Linked DNA regions of Canis lupus familiaris. The protein of the gene in region 1 purifies or fractionates together with the protein of each later gene. This does not show direct contact. Links are inferred from orthologs where the notes say so. Each region holds a gene or a part of one and is shown in the gene's direction. Other genes may lie near its edges. The genes, in order: TNS2 and SNTB2.

Region 1 (7,593 bases):
ACTACCGGCCGGAGGGAACGCTGGACCGGCGGCGGCTGGCCTACGGGGGCTACGAGGGGCACCCCCAGGGCTACGCCGAGGCCGCGGTGGAAAAGAGGCGCCTCTGCCGCTCGCTGTCCGAGGGGCCCTACCCCTACGGCCCGGAGCTGGGGAAAGCCGCCAGCGCGGACTTCGGCTACCGGGCCCCGGGCTACCGGGAGCTGGTGATCCTGGAGGACCCGGGGCTGCCCGCCCTGTGCTCGTGCCCCGCGTGCGAGGAGAAGCTGGCGCTGCCCACTGCGGCCCTGTACGGGCTGCGGCTGGAGCGGGAGGCCGGGGAGGGGTGGGCGGGCGAGGCGGGCAAGCCTCTGCTGCACCCGCTGCGCCCCGGGCACCCGCTGCCCCTGCTGGTGCCTGCCTGCGGCCATCACCACGCCCCCATGCCCGACTACGGCTGCCTGAAGCCGCCCAAGGCCAGCGAGGACGGGCACGAGGGCTGCTCCTGCGCCCTGTGCCCCGACGGCAGGTATGGGCATCCGGGGTACCCGGCCCTGGTGACCTACGGCTACGGAGGAGCGCTCCCCAGTTACTGCCCGGCGTACGGCAGGGTGCCTCAGAGCTGTGGCTCCCCGGGTGAGGGCAGGGGGTACCCCAGCTCCGGTGCCCACTCCCCCCGGGCCGGCTCCGTCTCCCCGGGCAGCCCGCCCTACCCACCACCCAGGAAGCTGAGCTACGAGATCCCCGCGGAGGAGGGAGGGGACAGGTACCCGATGCCTGGGCACCTGGCCCCAGCAGGACCCCTGGCATCCGCAGGTGAGGACGAGCGCCCAGGGAAGGGAGATGGGGGGGGCGGCACAGAGGGAGACAGGGCCAAGCTGGGCAGCGGGGGCCGCAGGCTCATGGCCCCTCCTGTCGCCTTCCCCAGAGTCACCCGAGCCGGCGTCCTGGAGGGAGGGCCCCAGCGGGCACAGCACCCTGCCTCGCTCCCCCCGTGATGCTCCACGCAGCGCGCCCTCCGAGCTCTCGGGGCCCTCCACGCCCTTGCACACCAGCAGCCCGGTCCAGGGCAAGGACGGGTACGCGGAGGGGCCGGGGTGGGGGCGCCCAAGCAGCCCGGGGGGCGGGGTGGGGGGAGCGGCTCCCGCCGGGGCTCCGCGCCCTAACCGCCCGCCCACCCGCCCTCCCAAACTGCAGCACCCGACGGCAGGACACCACGTCCCCCACCTTGGTGCCCACCCAGAGGCCAAGTCCCGGCGAGCCCTTGCCGTCCGTTCCCCAGGGAGGCGCCGAAGAAAAGGCTCCCGAGGCGCCAGCGAGGAGCGGGCTTGAGCTCCCGGCCCCGAGCCCCTTCCCCGCCGCCTCCCCGCCCGGCTCACCCCACGACTGGCCTCAGGAGAGGAGCCCAGGGAGCCGCTCGGACAGCGCCAGCCCCCGGGGCCCCGTGCCCACCACGCTGCCTGGCCTCCGCCATGCCCCCTGGCAGGGCCTCCGAGACCCGCCGGATAGTCCGGACGGGTCCCCCCTCACCCCCGTGCCTACCCAGATGCCCTGGCTCGTGGCCAGCCCGGAGCCGCCGCAGAGCTCCCCCACGCCTGCCTTCCCCGTGGCCGCTTCCTATGACATCAGCGGCCCCTCGCAGCCGCCACTGCCCGAGAAACGCCACTTGCTGGGACCTGGGCAACAGCCAGGGCCCTGGGGCCCCGAGCAGGCCTCCCCACCAGCCAGGGGCACCAGTCACCATGTCACCTTTGCACCTCTGCTCCCGGACCAAGTCCCCCAGCCCCCAGGTATAAAGGCCTTGAGGAGGGCGGGGCCCCCTTGGGAGAACCCTGTCCACCTCCCAGGGAGAGGGACACGACGTGGGCGCTAGGAAGCACCGGCGAGCCCAGTCCCTCCCGTCCTAGAGCCCCCTGCGCAAGAGAGCCAGAGCAACGTCAAGTTCGTCCAGGATACGTCCAAGTTCTGGTACAAACCACACCTGTCCCGTGACCAAGGTGAGAGGCCAGCGTGCCGCTCCCATCCCCCTCCAGGCTTGGCCTTGGCTCCAGGACCCGTCCTTCCAGTTGGCGCCCTTTCCCTGGGCTGAGTCTCACTAGCAGGTGGTTCTGGGCTTTGGGCCCAAGGAGGTTTAGACCCGACAGTGCTGGGGCGGCGGAGGCAGAGGGGCAACCCGGGGCTCAGGCAGCCACTGACACTGCTCCCGCCTCCTCCCAGCCATTGCCCTGCTGAAGGACAAGGACCCTGGCGCCTTCCTGATCAGGGACAGTCACTCGTTCCAAGGAGCCTATGGGCTGGCCCTCAAGGTAGCCACAGCTCCACCCAGCGCCCAGCCCTGGAGAGGTACGCGTGCCCAGACCAGAGGGAAAGGGGAGAGGAGTGGAGGGGACAGGCTGCCAAGGCAGGACAGGGCAGGCTGGGCTGTGCCACCTGCTACGGGGGAGGCAGGAGGTGCCCAGCAGGGGCAGAAGCTGGGCCCTAGGGTGTGACCGAGCCTTCCTGTCCCCTCCCCACAGGGGACCCCCTGGAGCAGCTGGTGCGCCATTTCCTCATTGAGACTGGGCCCAAAGGGGTGAAGATCAAGGGCTGTCCCAGCGAGCCCTACTTTGGTGAGCAGGGGGTACCAAGGTCAGAGGTTGGTCCAGGGGGGCCGGCGGGAAAGCTGGGGGCGCCTCAGGACCTGCCTCCCTCCTCCCGCAGGCAGCCTGTCCGCCCTGGTGTCCCAGCACTCCATCTCCCCGCTGTCCCTGCCCTGCTGCCTGCGCATCCCCAGCAAAGGTGGGTGTCCTGTCGGTGTCCTGTTGTCCGTCCGCCCGCTCCCCGTCACCCGCTGAGCCCAAGGCTGTGCCCCCTTGGGGCAACAGAGTCTTCAGCTCCCAGGGAAGGTGACTCCCCGCTCAGCTCCGCCCTTGGCCCTCCCTTCCCTCAGATCCTCTGGAGGAGACCCCAGAGGCCCCGGCGCCCGCCAACATGAGCACGGCGGCAGACCTCCTCCGTCAGGGCGCCGGTAGGAGCCCCCGGGCACAGGGGGGGTGGCGCAGAGAGGCCCTGACGTGGGGGGGGGCGGGTCTCTGACCGGGGGGATCGTCCATCTGGGACCTCAGCATCATGGGCACCTGCTAGAACGCAGGCTCCCGGGGCTCCTTCCGGCAGCTTCCACCGTGGATCCGGGGAAACCGTAGCGTCTGCCAATCAGCAGGTGCGCGGAGGGGAGGGGAGGGTAGGGACGAGGCCTCTCCTGCCCCTAGCCTGCAGCGTGCTCTACCTGACCTCGGTGGAGACCGAGTCCCTGACGGGCCCGCAGGCGGTGGCCCGGGCCAGCTCGGCAGCTCTGAGCTGCAGCCCCCGGCCGACCCCAGCCGTCGTCCACTTCAAGGTCTCGGCCCAGGGCATCACGCTGACAGACAACCAAAGGAAGTGAGTATGTGCACCAAGCCCAGGGAGCCCAGGGGCCCCCGCTTCTGGCTGTGACCCCCCATCCTCCTCGCAGGCTCTTCTTTTTTTTTTTTTTTTTTTTTTTTTTTTTTTTTTTTTTTTTTTTTTTTTTTTTTTTTTTTTTTTTTTTTTTTTTTCGCAGGCTCTTCTTTCGCCGCCATTACCCGGTGAACAGTATCACCTTCTCCAGCACCGATCCTCAGGACCGGAGGTGAGCGTCCCGGCTCCCACGGCCCACGCTCCCGCCAGGCAGCCCCCCCCCCAGACCTCCTCCGCGACACACACCCTGGGTGCATGGCTTCACCGTCCTTCTCTTCCCGCAGATGGACCAACCCCGACGGGACCACCTCCAAGTGAGCCTCCCACGAGCCCCTGCCCCCCACGGGACCCAGGCGCTGCCTCCCTCTCCAGCCGTGGCTCAGCAGTGTCTTGTGGAAGGGATGTTGAGCCCCGTCCCCACTCTGCCTCTGCACCCCTAGGATCTTTGGTTTCGTGGCCAAGAAGCCGGGAAGCCCATGGGAGAACGTGTGTCACCTGTTCGCAGAGCTTGACCCAGACCAGCCCGCGGGCGCCATTGTCACCTTTATCACCAAAGTCCTACTGGGCCAGAGAAAGTGAAGGCAGAGGCCACAAGCTCGGAGCCCACGCCAACACCGCGCACCTCTCAGCACCCCACAGTCCTCACTTCCCCGGGCCCAGGAGCCCCAGGAGCCAGCCCCCTCCGTCGGGAGCGGGGAGCCCGGGACACTGCTCTCCTCCCTGCCCCCAGCCTGCTAAGCCAAGTGGATGGGCCTGTGAGAGGACCCCGCATGTGCGCAGATGGCAGAGACGGGCGTGTGAAGGGTGAGGCGGCATCGGCAGTTGGACCCCGGGGGGATCTGGACAGCCCCGCGTGCAGAACGTCAGGCCTGGAGGGGAGACAGGGCTTGCCAGCTCCACCCAGCTGCAGGTCCCAGCCTGGCAGGCCGGGGAGGCGGGCGGGGAGCAAGGCACTCCCTCCTCTGCCTCCCCTCCGAGCAGAGGGATCAGAGTGGGATCACATGAATAGGGGAGAAAAAAAAAAAAGAGTCTATTTTTGTCTAATAAAGAATTTCTAGAACATTACCTCGGAGTCGGAGTCAAGCCTTGCTCATGGGAAGGTCAAAGCCTCACGTCTCCTGGGGCATCCCAGGCCACAGCCAGGTCCACAGAACACACACGATCCCCGTCCTTGGCCTCACACTGGTCCAGGTCTCCGGCGAGCAAGCTGCCTCAGCTGCGCCCACCTCTAGCCCTGCCCCTGCCCTATAGACTGGAAAGGACGCCCCTGTCCAGACTGTACTGATAAATACAGAAACTCCGTCTTTATTGGCTGTATAAACATCTCTGGGCTGTACATACATTTCATACATCGTAGCGGAGGGCCGAAGGGGGGACCCCAGCCACACAGCAGCTCACCCCCTTTCCCCAAGGCCCACCCACTCTGTGCAAACCAAGGCTAACAGCTCCCGCCCCCTTTTCCTCCCAGGAGAAGTCACTGTATGGGAAGGGGGTCGGGGTCAGGCGGCAGGAGACAGGAGGGCTTGGCTGGGGAGGACACATGTAAGTGCTAGAGTCAAACACTGAGGCAAAACAGGCAACTGGCACAGGCAGCAAGCTGGGGCCTGGGTGGGGTGGGGAACGGGGGCGAGGGGCCACACTGCCCTCTGGGCTCACGACCACGGCTCTGGGGGCTCGGCCTCACCACGGCAGGAGAGACTGCTCTGGACTCTGCCTACAGCCCAGGGAACCAGAGATGGGGCGCCATGGGTAGCCCAAGGCTGGCCAGGAGGGAACGGGAGCCAAGGCCCAGCCCCCTCACCAAGCAGCCCCTCTCACTCCGTTAAACACACCACGGACACCCACCTAGGTGTGTATGGCTGCGGGGAGCCGGAGACCCAGATTCTCTGTGGGACTCTACGGCACCTGAGCAGGCGGCGAGGGAGCAAGCGGGCTGTCAGGGGAAGGAGCGGAGACCCCGGAGGAGCATTCCTGGGACAGCAGTCAGTGGAAAGAGAGGGAAGGCCCGAGAGAGCCCCCCTAGCCCAGCCAGGGGGGACGACAGCAGCAACTGGTCCACACGATGAGGACAAGGAACAAAAAAGAGAAGATGCAAAGAGAAATACTGTGATAAATAGGGGAGTGGGCAGTCTCTACTCCACCCTCTGCAAAGCCTCATGCCCAAATAGCAGCTGAGACGGGGCCCACTCCTCTCCACTTGCACGGCCCGTGGGGAAAAGCGGGTGCGGGAGTCCACCAGCCAAAGCAAGGGGGACCCACCAGTATAGCAACACCATCCTTTGGACCTGTTCCTTTCCAACCAGGGACTTAGGCCCAAGACTGACTGATGGTCAGGATGGCACAGGTCAGGAACGTGGGCACAGAGGGGCGTGGCGGGGACCTGTCCGAGAGAGGCAGAGGGGCTACGCACTCCCTGGGGCCTGCTGGGTAAGCAAACCCGGGGGGAGGCAGGAACTGGGCACCTGGTTCTGCAAAGGGTGAGGGAAAGGAGGCAGGGCAGGTCTAGGGGAGAAGCCCCTAGCCACTTAGGGGATGGAGATCCACTTTGACTTTCTCCCCACAGCTCAGCATCCCGATGGTGGGGAAGAAGCCCCCAGAAGGTACAACAGCATCCTTCTTCCCGATGATCTTGCCGTTCCGAGTGAAGAAAACCTGGGGGTGGAGGCAGGGCGAGGAGTGGAGCAGGCTGGCTCTGGCCCCCTCTGCTGATGCCACAGACACACAGGCGGGACCCCAGGGCACCCCCCCCTCCCAGGCCCTCCGAGGGGAGCCTCAGCGGGAAGTGGCCACTAGGGGGCGTCTGGAAACCAGGTCCCACGGCGGCCCAGGGGCACGTAGCTCCTCAGAGCAGCAGCCCCTGCCAGGGCTCCCCTCATCGGCGCGCTCTGGCTCCCGTCCTATCCCCCAAGGGGCAGGCCCCCCAGACCCAGGAACCCTAGTCCAACCCCCATCCCACACCCGCCCCACTCACCACCACCTTCTTGCCCTCATGCTCTTGCTCAATCTCTTCCCCATCTTCTTCCTCTTCCTCTTCCTCCTCTTCCTCTTCTCCCTCCTGGTGCAGGTACATGACATTGCGGACGTTCCGGACGGCACGGGCAGTGGGGGATAGGATCACTGTGTCACAGCTGTCATCACTGTCACCTAGGAGGCCGGGAAAACGTGAGCCCCTGTGGTGCTGCCCCCACCGTCGGCCCGACACGCCTGGCCGGCCACCCTCAACCCACTCACCCTCACTGTCCAGAATGTAGTCCCGGGGGAACATGATGCCACAACCCATGATGTCCCCTTTGTAACAGCGTGGCCCGAAGGGGTCCCCCACGCCACTGCCATGGAAGATCTTCCCATCATCTGTTGAAGGGAGGGGAGAAGAGGAGACTTGCACCCAAAGGAGGGGCTGATGCTCTGCCCCTGCACACAGAGAGGTCCCTGCTTCAAGCAGAATGCTGGCCTGCCTCCCTCTCTGCCCCACCCCCGGGGGTGGGGGTGTGTCAAGGTGAAACAAAAATGGAGACAGAAATAGGAAGAGGCCCCAGATTTAAAAAAGAGACACTCTGTTCAAGGGGCTGAGGGACAGACTCCCTCAGGGAGCTGGAGGGAGAGGGAGAGGGCTGAGGAAGGGACGGGGTGGCACCAGGAGCTCAGGGCAACTGCTTTCTAAAGAGAGCCCTAAAGGAAATCAAGCTGATCCAAAAAAAAAAAAAAAAGGCAGGATCTACAAGAAGGCGCAGAGGGAGCCAACTCAGAGGCCTGGAATGTCCAGTTTGGGCCCAGATCCCCCGCCCCTGTTCGGCTCCCCTGGCTTTTCAGGCTACGAGGAAAATCAGGAGAAAGCACTACCAGCCTGGGAAAGGGAGAGGAGACAGCAGCCGGGGAAAGTCTCCCCTGCCAGAGGCTGGAGGGGAGACCATCCGCGGGGGGTTGGGGGGGTGTCAGGAACAGGCGTGTCTCTATGCCTCCACATACCCCGCAGCTCTAGGGCAGCCCCCACTCACCTGCATGATAAGCCACAGAGCCTCTGCTCCAGCCAGGGTGTCTGTTCTTGGGATAGTCCTGCACCAAGAAGGAAAAAGAAAACCTACGGTAGGTACCATGTGCGGAAAGAGGACAGGACAGAGGGCGTGTGAACCTTCAATCTTTTCA
Region 2 (8,486 bases), on another chromosome or scaffold:
AAACTAACACATAATTCACAACTTTACTAGACTGTTAAGTCTTCATGTAGTTTTCTAATTATTCTGGGTCTAGGCTTATGAAGTCGCTTCCCCTAACTTGAGCTCTTAACACCATAAACCCACATTGTACCCTCCAAAAGGAACACAAAGCCCCCATTGCTGGGCACTAGATGTTTCTCTTCCTCCCTTGATTACCTCAAAAACTGTGGTATTTTTTCTGTTTCTTAAACTTTAGTATTTGATGTTCTGTGATTGTTCTTGAATGCTGCTGTTGTGTCTTTTTATATTTCTGACAACAGCTCTGTTAAGCAAAATCAGCACATTACCTTTTTTACTGACTTACCTATAAATTGAGTTGCATAGTGGATTTACAGCCCATAAAAGGATTTTAGTTGAATCAGGATGGTTGTAATAAGCCACTGGGAACAGCTCAAAGCTTCACTAAGTCCTAGATCCTGTCCCATCAGAGTAGGGCCACTTATCACAGCTGCCTGCCCTCCAGGCACTCACACACACACTCACATATTTGTTAAATCAGTCAGAGGCTTTTTGCTCTTTAGTGCACTACTCCTGACACCATCTGAGGATGAGAGGTGCCAGGTACTTAATCACCATTGCTTCACTATGTTTACCTACCATTTAGGGAGAAACCACTAAACTAAGAACTATTAGGCACAGTATTGTTATGACCAATTTATATTTTCAAAATTATCTGGTATTAATTATAATTTTAAATTAAAACAAACTCACTTCTAAACCCAAACATATTCGGTGTAACGTCCTTCCTTTCAAATTTGAAATGATCATAAACAATATTCTGTTTTTCTTTTTCAAAATTTGAGATCGAGTCTGTGGGGCTTGATCTCAGGACCCTGGGATCATGACCTGGGCTGAAAGCAGACACTTAACCAACTGAGCCACCCAGGTGCCCCAGTTTTTTCTTAAGTAACATGCAGACACTACATTTGCTTTCCTTTCCTTCCCTCATGGGGGGAAACAATCCTAAACAGAACCTTTAGGAAACTTCTTTTTATGCTGTTAATGACTTGGCTTTGCTAGTTGCAGTCACCTGATCTGGCCCCACTAGCGACACACCTGGAGGCAGAAATACTCACCCACCTGCGTGGCGCCTTCTCTAGCCAGTGCGTCAAGAACAGATCCTTGTTCTTTGAGCTTTTCTTTTCTGGACTAGAACTGACCCCTCTCTTCTAATCAGATTTCACTATCCTAGACTATGCCAAGGCTTCAGGGATGTTGATAGAATAAAATTCTCATGAAAACTGTATCCTGGTTGCTTTGATTAGAATCTGTTCTTCCTCCAAACCCTTAGCTATTTATTCGGAGATCATTGCATTGAATTACTTTCTACAAGTAGTTTTATCCATGTTTCGCCCCTGAGGTTTTTTTTCCTGAGGATAACTAATATTCGAAGTCTTTTGTCCAAAATCCTCTTCTTTAAGTTGTGCTGAGAAGGGACACTGCCAATATTTGTCTGTTCTTCTTTCTTATTCCTTATTTTTAAACACAGATCTGTCTTAACTAATTGAATGTTTTTGCAAGTGGAGTAAAAGAATACCCTGATTGGTCTGGGTAGGAGGACTCACTTATTTGGAAGCTACTTTTTGTGACCGAGCATAGTGTGACTCTGATCCTTTATTGAAGTTCATCTTTCCAAGGGCTGAGTTAATTTCCAGGTCTCAGAGGACCTTATACTTGTAGCTCCGATACTAACAAAACTGCTCACATGTTATTGAAACAGAAACTTCACCAATCTTGACAGAAGGCATGTGTCGTCTTGATTAAAGTTTTTTTTCCCCTATCAATTCAGATCAATCCTTTGAATTTTATCTTTGACAGGACTGACATTGGCTAACTATAGCCACTACCTTCAATAATGAACATTATCTTCATCCTCTTCACCAATACCAACCAAACCATGTTACTACCCCTAAAAGGCATCTCTGCCTTTTCTCGTTTGTTTTTTTTTCTTCTTGCTCACTGAAAACCTTTCTGTATTGCCTATCCAGTCTGACCTATTCTTTAGGGCTTGTCTGAAGTCCCAACTCCTCCAGGAAACTTTTCCTTGATTTTGGCCTTATTCGTTCTAGTGTTTTAGTCATGTTCTATACATTCTACCTAATACAGTTAGGAATTTCATGTTTATGCCTATTCATTTATGAAGTCCTTGAGAGCAGGGACCGTGCCTGTTACTTCTGCACACACGGTCTACTGCCAGGCCCAATGTTTAATAGATACTCACTGAATCAAACTGAATCAGATCAGGTGTCATAGAAAAAGATACTTTTTTTCTCGCCTCAATCAAGATGTTGATCCAAGCAACCAAAACAAAACTTACTTTAAGGAGTTCTAAATCAGGTAGGTATCACATATTCTCAAGTAAAGATTCTTTTTCCTTTAAGTCAGAAGCATCCTTTTCCACTTGATAACTAAAGTAGTAACTTTATCAATGATGGATTTTCCTTGTCTTCAACAGGCTGCACACTAAATGGCCAAGAGGTAAGATTGACTGTCCACTATGAAAATGGGTTCACCATCTCCAAGGAAAATGGAGGTTCCAGCAGCATATTGTACCGCTACCCCTTTGAAAGGCTGAAAATGTCTGCTGATGATGGCATCAGAAATCTGTACCTGGATTTTGGTGGTCCTGAGGGAGAACTGGTAAGGGTGTTTCTGAAAAGTATGTTTAATAGGTATTATCTTTCTTTCTCATTGTTTCTTACCTTCTATATAGAAAATTATGGATTGATAGTCCATCTGGAGTCAGGAGATTGTTCTTCAGATTTCAAGATGTATTGGATTCTGGTTTCGGGTTTGTGTGTACACGTGTGTTTTTCTTTTACCCACGCTAGGAAATCATTCCTTTTTTTTTTCTTTTAAAGATTTTATTGATTGGGGCAGCCTAGGTGGCTCAGCGGTTTGGTGCCGCCTTCGGCCCAGGGCCTGATCCTGGGGTTCTGGGATCGAGTCCCACGTCAGACTCCCTGTGTGGAGCCTGCTTCTCCCTCTGCCTATGTCTCTGCCTATCTCTGTGTGTGTGTGTGTCTCATGAATAAATAAATAAAATCTTTTAAAAATGTAGAATATCTCATCCAAATGTGTTTATTTTGTTTCTGTTTATGAAAGCTTCTGTGTGTGGTAGTGATAATTCATGTGCTTTCTCCACAGACCATGGACCTGCACTCTTGTCCGAAGCCCATCGTATTTGTGTTGCACACATTCTTGTCAGCCAAAGTCACTCGCATGGGACTGCTCGTATGAGCAGCAAAAAATCAGAAAAGAGTCTTGAATGTCACAAGAAGTATTTCCACCTCAAAAAAAAAAAAAAAAAAAAAACACAAAAAGCACAAAAAGCAAGCTCTTTGCTCTCTCCTCCAGCACAGTGCCTTGACAAGAACCTGCAGATCACTGCTGAACAGTAACCGTGTTTAAAGAAGAGCCTGCCTTTCACAAGCTACCTTTGCCAGAAATTCTAGGACTCTAATAAGCTCCAAACTGAAGCTGTTGATTTATTGCCTCGTTTCCCAATGTGGTTTCTAAGTCACTAGGTTTATTTCCCCTGTGAAGAAGGATGGTTCGTTGTGGGGTTTTTTGGGGGACATAATCAAATATCCATGAGTTGTTTTTGTTTCTTCTTGCAGGATTTGTTTCAAGCTTAGCCTTGGTGTCTGGCTTAGTTCAACCATCTCTTCCCACATGCTAGTTGACAGCCGCCTGTGCTTCTTGGCCATTCCAAATAGGCTGTACATTCTGTCAAAGGCTACTGTCACTTAATCCTTCCACCTTTCGAAGTCCTCGAATTGCACACCAAAGCATTCTCCCATCTGTCTTGGCTCTCGTGCATCTCACCCTGGTCATCATCACCTTTCCAACACACCACAAGCTTTGTCACTCATCAGTGCTAACATTAGGACTTAAAATTTGTGAAATTTTATTAGTGTTGCCTTCCACTCCCTTTCTAGTGGTGACCAAGTTGGAAACCACTGATCTGAAAGAAGAGGTTTGCTTGCTTTAGATTTTTCTGATTTATCTTTGGTAGGAGCCAGGGGATGATAAGATTTCTTTTAAAAGAAAATCCTCATTTTAGCCTAAGCCATTTTTTATTGCTTACCAAATGTGCCTTTGGTTAGGGTTAGTGGAGCTTTATTAGTCACTATTTGAATAACTGGATATCACTGCCATTCCAGGGAGATCATCCATCTTAGTTTTGAAGAATAGACTTTGAGATGAATTTCCTTAGTAGTGTCTTTTCTAGTGGGCAGATCTCATTGAGGAAGATAAATCCTGGAGAGCCCACTAGCTTAAAGAGTAGGCTCTGCCTGTAAAGCCAGCTCTTCAGCACAAACATCATATTGAGCTGTTTTGGGCTTTGTGAGCCCATGCAGGATCCTGGCCCTGGTCCTCTCCCTTTGTGGCAGCAGAGTGGCATGGACAGGCAGCTGCTAACTCAGTGATGTTGGCATAGTAATGCATTCTGCAGTGGGCAGGGTGACGAGACCATGGAACAGTTTCCTGGGTTTTGCTAAGCATTGCCAGATGTCATCATTAGGACTTAGTACCAGTAAGATTGCTGATTTTGTAGTATTAAAGAATCACGCTCAGCTTGTTTTTCCTGATAATGAGGGAGGTATATATCTGAAAACATTTAAAATAGTATAATAGCTGTATAAGATGTCAAGATTACCACAGCCCCCAGATCTGAAAGAAAAGGTTATATTGACTTGGATGTTCTCTGAAGGAAAGTCTAGGAACAGTTCTCACGAGATTTACCAGGAGTGCCATAAAGAAGATGTGAGCATTCTGGAGAGTGGAGGAGAGGGTAGCACTCCAAATAGGAAAAACCCACAACCATAAATGCAAAACATGAGCTATTTGGTGTGAGTCCAGACTGACCTAGGTGGAACATCTTAAAGAGCAGATTCATGAGGAGAGAGTTAGTGAATTAGACAATGTAACCCCATTGTCTCCCCTCTGCCTGTCGGTCAGTCCTCCTTGTACATGAGATTAACCACATGTAGAGGCCAGGGAGAGAGAACTGTTCTTCCCCCAGCTACAGTTCTAGAAATGTTATTTGATCCACCTAAAACTGGAAATTGAAATCTAGAGTATGTCTTTCAAGAACTTTATCTTTTAGGGATTTATAAACCTATGTTTGGTTCCATGTGAAGTAAATTTGCAAGGGAACAAAAAAATAGAATCTTGAAGGTCCAGCTATGATTTCTGGAAGCAGAATTTCAACACATAATACCCTCAGATAAGGGAGCTTAGACACTCTTTGCCATGAAAGCATTATTAACCTGAAAAGTTGCACATGCAGCCACAGACTGCAGCAAAGCCATTTGTTTGGGGTTTTTTGTTGTTGGTGGTGGTGTGAAAGGCTAAGCCACTGAGAATATTTTCAGGGGGAACTTCTAAGCCCTGGTGCTCATAAATTCTATGAAAAAGGTCTCTAAAAAAGATGTGATGAAGATGTGAGCAGGAGAAGGTAAGGCGTGTGAGCCATTTTGACTCATTTTGTTCAAGCTTGAACTGTCACATATAACACCAAGGTCCATAGGGTTTTTTTTGTTTTGTTTTGTTTTTTAATCTTTGGAGTCTTAATGTGAAATAAAAATATGTGGGAGGTTTCCTTTGACCACTAGCACCCCTGACAGCAAGAGCCCTTAAGCTGCTTTTTTAACATCAGCAGCTTTCCAATCATCATCATGGATGACCAGGTTGTTCTTCAGTTAAGTGTGTTTGTGGAATTTTCAAACCACAAATGAAGTGCTTTTTATGAATGGGACAGCCTAGATAAATAGGTATTTTGTATTAAGATGCCAAAATATGGCAAAATATTTTCAAATGGTAACTAAAAATGGGCATTTTTGGTATTTCACATATTTTATAGAACAGCTTAACTTGTCATTTCTTTTTCATTTTGAATTGGGAATATTGTTGGGAATGTTGTGGGCTTCCATGTGTAGAATGGAAACTGCAGAGTAGTGTCCACCTCATCCCAATGGACCCGCTTCCTGTGCTCTCAACTAACCCCAGACCTGGGGCTTAGACATCTTCTCCATATTCCACACAGATGTGTCTACCAGTAGCCAATTGGCATGTGAAAATTCTTCCTCACTCCCTAAATTTCTCATTTTGCTCTCCAAAAAAAGAAAGAAAGAAAAGGCTCAGTTATTTCTTTTCTGAAAAAGGTAAGCCCTTTCCTGAAGTTATCAAACAAACCTTATCTGAAAATTAGTTTCTAAGATCTTATATGAAGAAATACTTTAATGTATGTTTATACAGTATTTATTAGATAGTTATAACTGTAAACTCACCTATCTAGTAGACAGTTTCAGGTTAAATATTGGAACATGCACAAGCAATCAAAAATATTACATTAAATGTCATTCATCTATTTTAAAGCCATGTTTTAGCACTTTTTAGGCTAGGTAAAGTCTGATAGTGCCTGCTTTTATCAGCTGTACCCTCACAACTTTATTGTGGAACATTATTAGATGGCAGGAGAGGTTGAATTATTTATTTTTTATATTTTTATAAGTGGAAAAATCTAACCAACAAATGATTAAAGTTGTCTCTGATTATTTTCCTAATTTATCTTCCTAAGTAGAATGGCAACAAAGCTTTTTTCAGCTGATTAAATGCACTTAGCTAATAAACCAAAATTTATTCTTTTTTTTAAATTTAGCTGTGTGGAATCTGGACAAGATTATGTTTCTCCCAGAAAAAGTTTTCATTGTAAATGATTTTGATGGACAGAAGTGTGACCACTTTTGAGAAAAGGTTGTGATGGATTTTTTTTTTAATTTTGTGAGAACCTCCAGGTCTTCTTGTTTAATTTATATGCATGTGGATATATTTGTATGTTTTCAAAAACATAGAAGAATCTCCATATTTTTAAATGCAAATTATATTGTAAGCTGCTATGCAAATTCTATTAAAAGCCCTACCTACTTAAAAGTTAAACATTTTTGAAGCTTTCAGGGAAGACCTGTAGACTTAAGCACTTTCTCTGCTTTTTTGTGTCTTATCTTGGACATTTACGCTGAACTTTGTTCTTATTATTTTCACTGGTTATAAGCTATTGATTGTACATAATATTGAAATTATCCAAATATCCAGCATACATTTCATTGTCACTGCCATCCACCATTGACACCATGAATGAATGGCTGGTTAGAAAGCCAAAGGTCATCTTTTTTCGATTGCTAATGAAGAAGTAAAATGCCAGATCTCTTTGGTCTCAAAGCAGATTGCTCTGGTCAGATCAAATAAGGAAAAGAGACTTCTTTAAATTTGGGACTTTGCTTAAACTTTAAGTTGAATTTGACCATAATCATATTCATTCTTTTTGTATGTATATCTCCATCAGGTCTATAATGTACCAGGTAGTATTATATTATATTCTGTCTTGAGTTTGAAAATCTCTTTCAGTTAAATTTGTTATTGTGGCTTTTTTTTCCCTCTTGAAGATGAAAGCAGAGGAATCTGCCATTTGCTACTGTTCTGTTTCTCAAGATTGCTTGGTAATCTAGAATTCTTTTGACTTTCTACATAGCGTCTTCAAAGATTGACAGTAGCAGTCTCTCCCCTGCCGCCTTTTTTAAAACTGTCTCCTTCCCTGTGCTGGGTATATAGACAATAAATGTGTGATAACAGACAGTTATAAAATAATTATGTTATATATCAGGATTATGTGTTTTTGAGCAACATAGCTACTCCTATCATGTAATGATAAGTGAAATTTATGCTAGAAATAGACTACTTAGTGGCAGATTTGAAACCATTTCTCTTTAAAGAAAAATCTGGCAAATTCTATCAAAGCATAGAATTTTTAGTTAAAATAAAGTACCAAAAATAGGTTCATAGAGCACACCTGTACATCTGTTGTCTTTTTTTGATACTAGCTAAACTACCAACTGAAAGAACAGTTGTTATGTATTAACAAAATACTTTTATAAGATTTCTTCTTTTGTTTCAAAACTGATAAACTTGAGCTTAATCTCCTGCCACCTCTTCTTCTTCCCACTTCAGGTGACTGAACCAAAGCACATTTAAGTTTTAAAAGTGATTCTGCATTTGATGTGATTCATAAATAATGCCATTTGCAAATGACTCCTTGTTCTCTAATGAAGGTTTGATTATATTCAACAAAAATCTACCATCTGAACTGTAATCCTTGAATTGCTCCAAAATAGATTGGTTGAAACCAAAAAGCTATTAATAGAGAAATGATACTTTATTGTATTGTTAGATTAGCTACTCTGGTAGATTTCTAGTACCTTTACTCAGTCCTCTTGTTATCCTACCTCCATGCTGTTGACACGCTTTATTTTAGTTTCTGAGTCCCTCTTTATCCTAGTCACATTTTATACCCTTGGAACTTGAGTGCTCTATCACCTCTTCCAAAGTGATAGAGAAGTCTCTCAGGAATACAGAAAAAGGTTCTTTGGGGGCCTGGAGGAATT

Evidence for each region.
Region 2: the proteins of TNS2 (region 1) and SNTB2 purify together in Homo sapiens (affinity purification with mass spectrometry; 4 studies listed by BioGRID and IntAct, with this or other methods). This does not show direct contact. The link is inferred for Canis lupus familiaris from reciprocal best matches to the Homo sapiens genes TNS2 and SNTB2.

Annotation. Positions count from the first base shown.
Region 1 is NC_049248.1:44,547,167-44,554,759, forward strand, and holds the end of TNS2 (tensin-2), read left to right. Parts: coding exon 1-792; intron 793-904; coding exon 905-1,055; intron 1,056-1,173; coding exon 1,174-1,766; intron 1,767-1,883; coding exon 1,884-1,973; intron 1,974-2,193; coding exon 2,194-2,319; intron 2,320-2,492; coding exon 2,493-2,585; intron 2,586-2,676; coding exon 2,677-2,754; intron 2,755-2,905; coding exon 2,906-2,983; intron 2,984-3,224; coding exon 3,225-3,393; intron 3,394-3,553; coding exon 3,554-3,622; intron 3,623-3,734; coding exon 3,735-3,764; intron 3,765-3,890; coding exon 3,891-4,029; 3' UTR 4,030-4,515; downstream 4,516-7,593. Other genes in the region: SPRYD3 (SPRY domain-containing protein 3), read right to left, coding at 5,968-6,102, 6,422-6,594, 6,682-6,801, 7,446-7,503. UniProt on the Homo sapiens protein: Tyrosine-protein phosphatase which regulates cell motility, proliferation and muscle-response to insulin. Phosphatase activity is mediated by binding to phosphatidylinositol-3,4,5-triphosphate (PtdIns(3,4,5)P3) via the SH2 domain.
Region 2 is NC_049226.1:80,930,771-80,939,256, reverse strand, and holds part of SNTB2 (beta-2-syntrophin), read left to right. Parts: intron 1-2,494; coding exon 2,495-2,679; intron 2,680-3,186; coding exon 3,187-3,279; 3' UTR 3,280-8,486. UniProt on the Homo sapiens protein: Adapter protein that binds to and probably organizes the subcellular localization of a variety of membrane proteins. May link various receptors to the actin cytoskeleton and the dystrophin glycoprotein complex.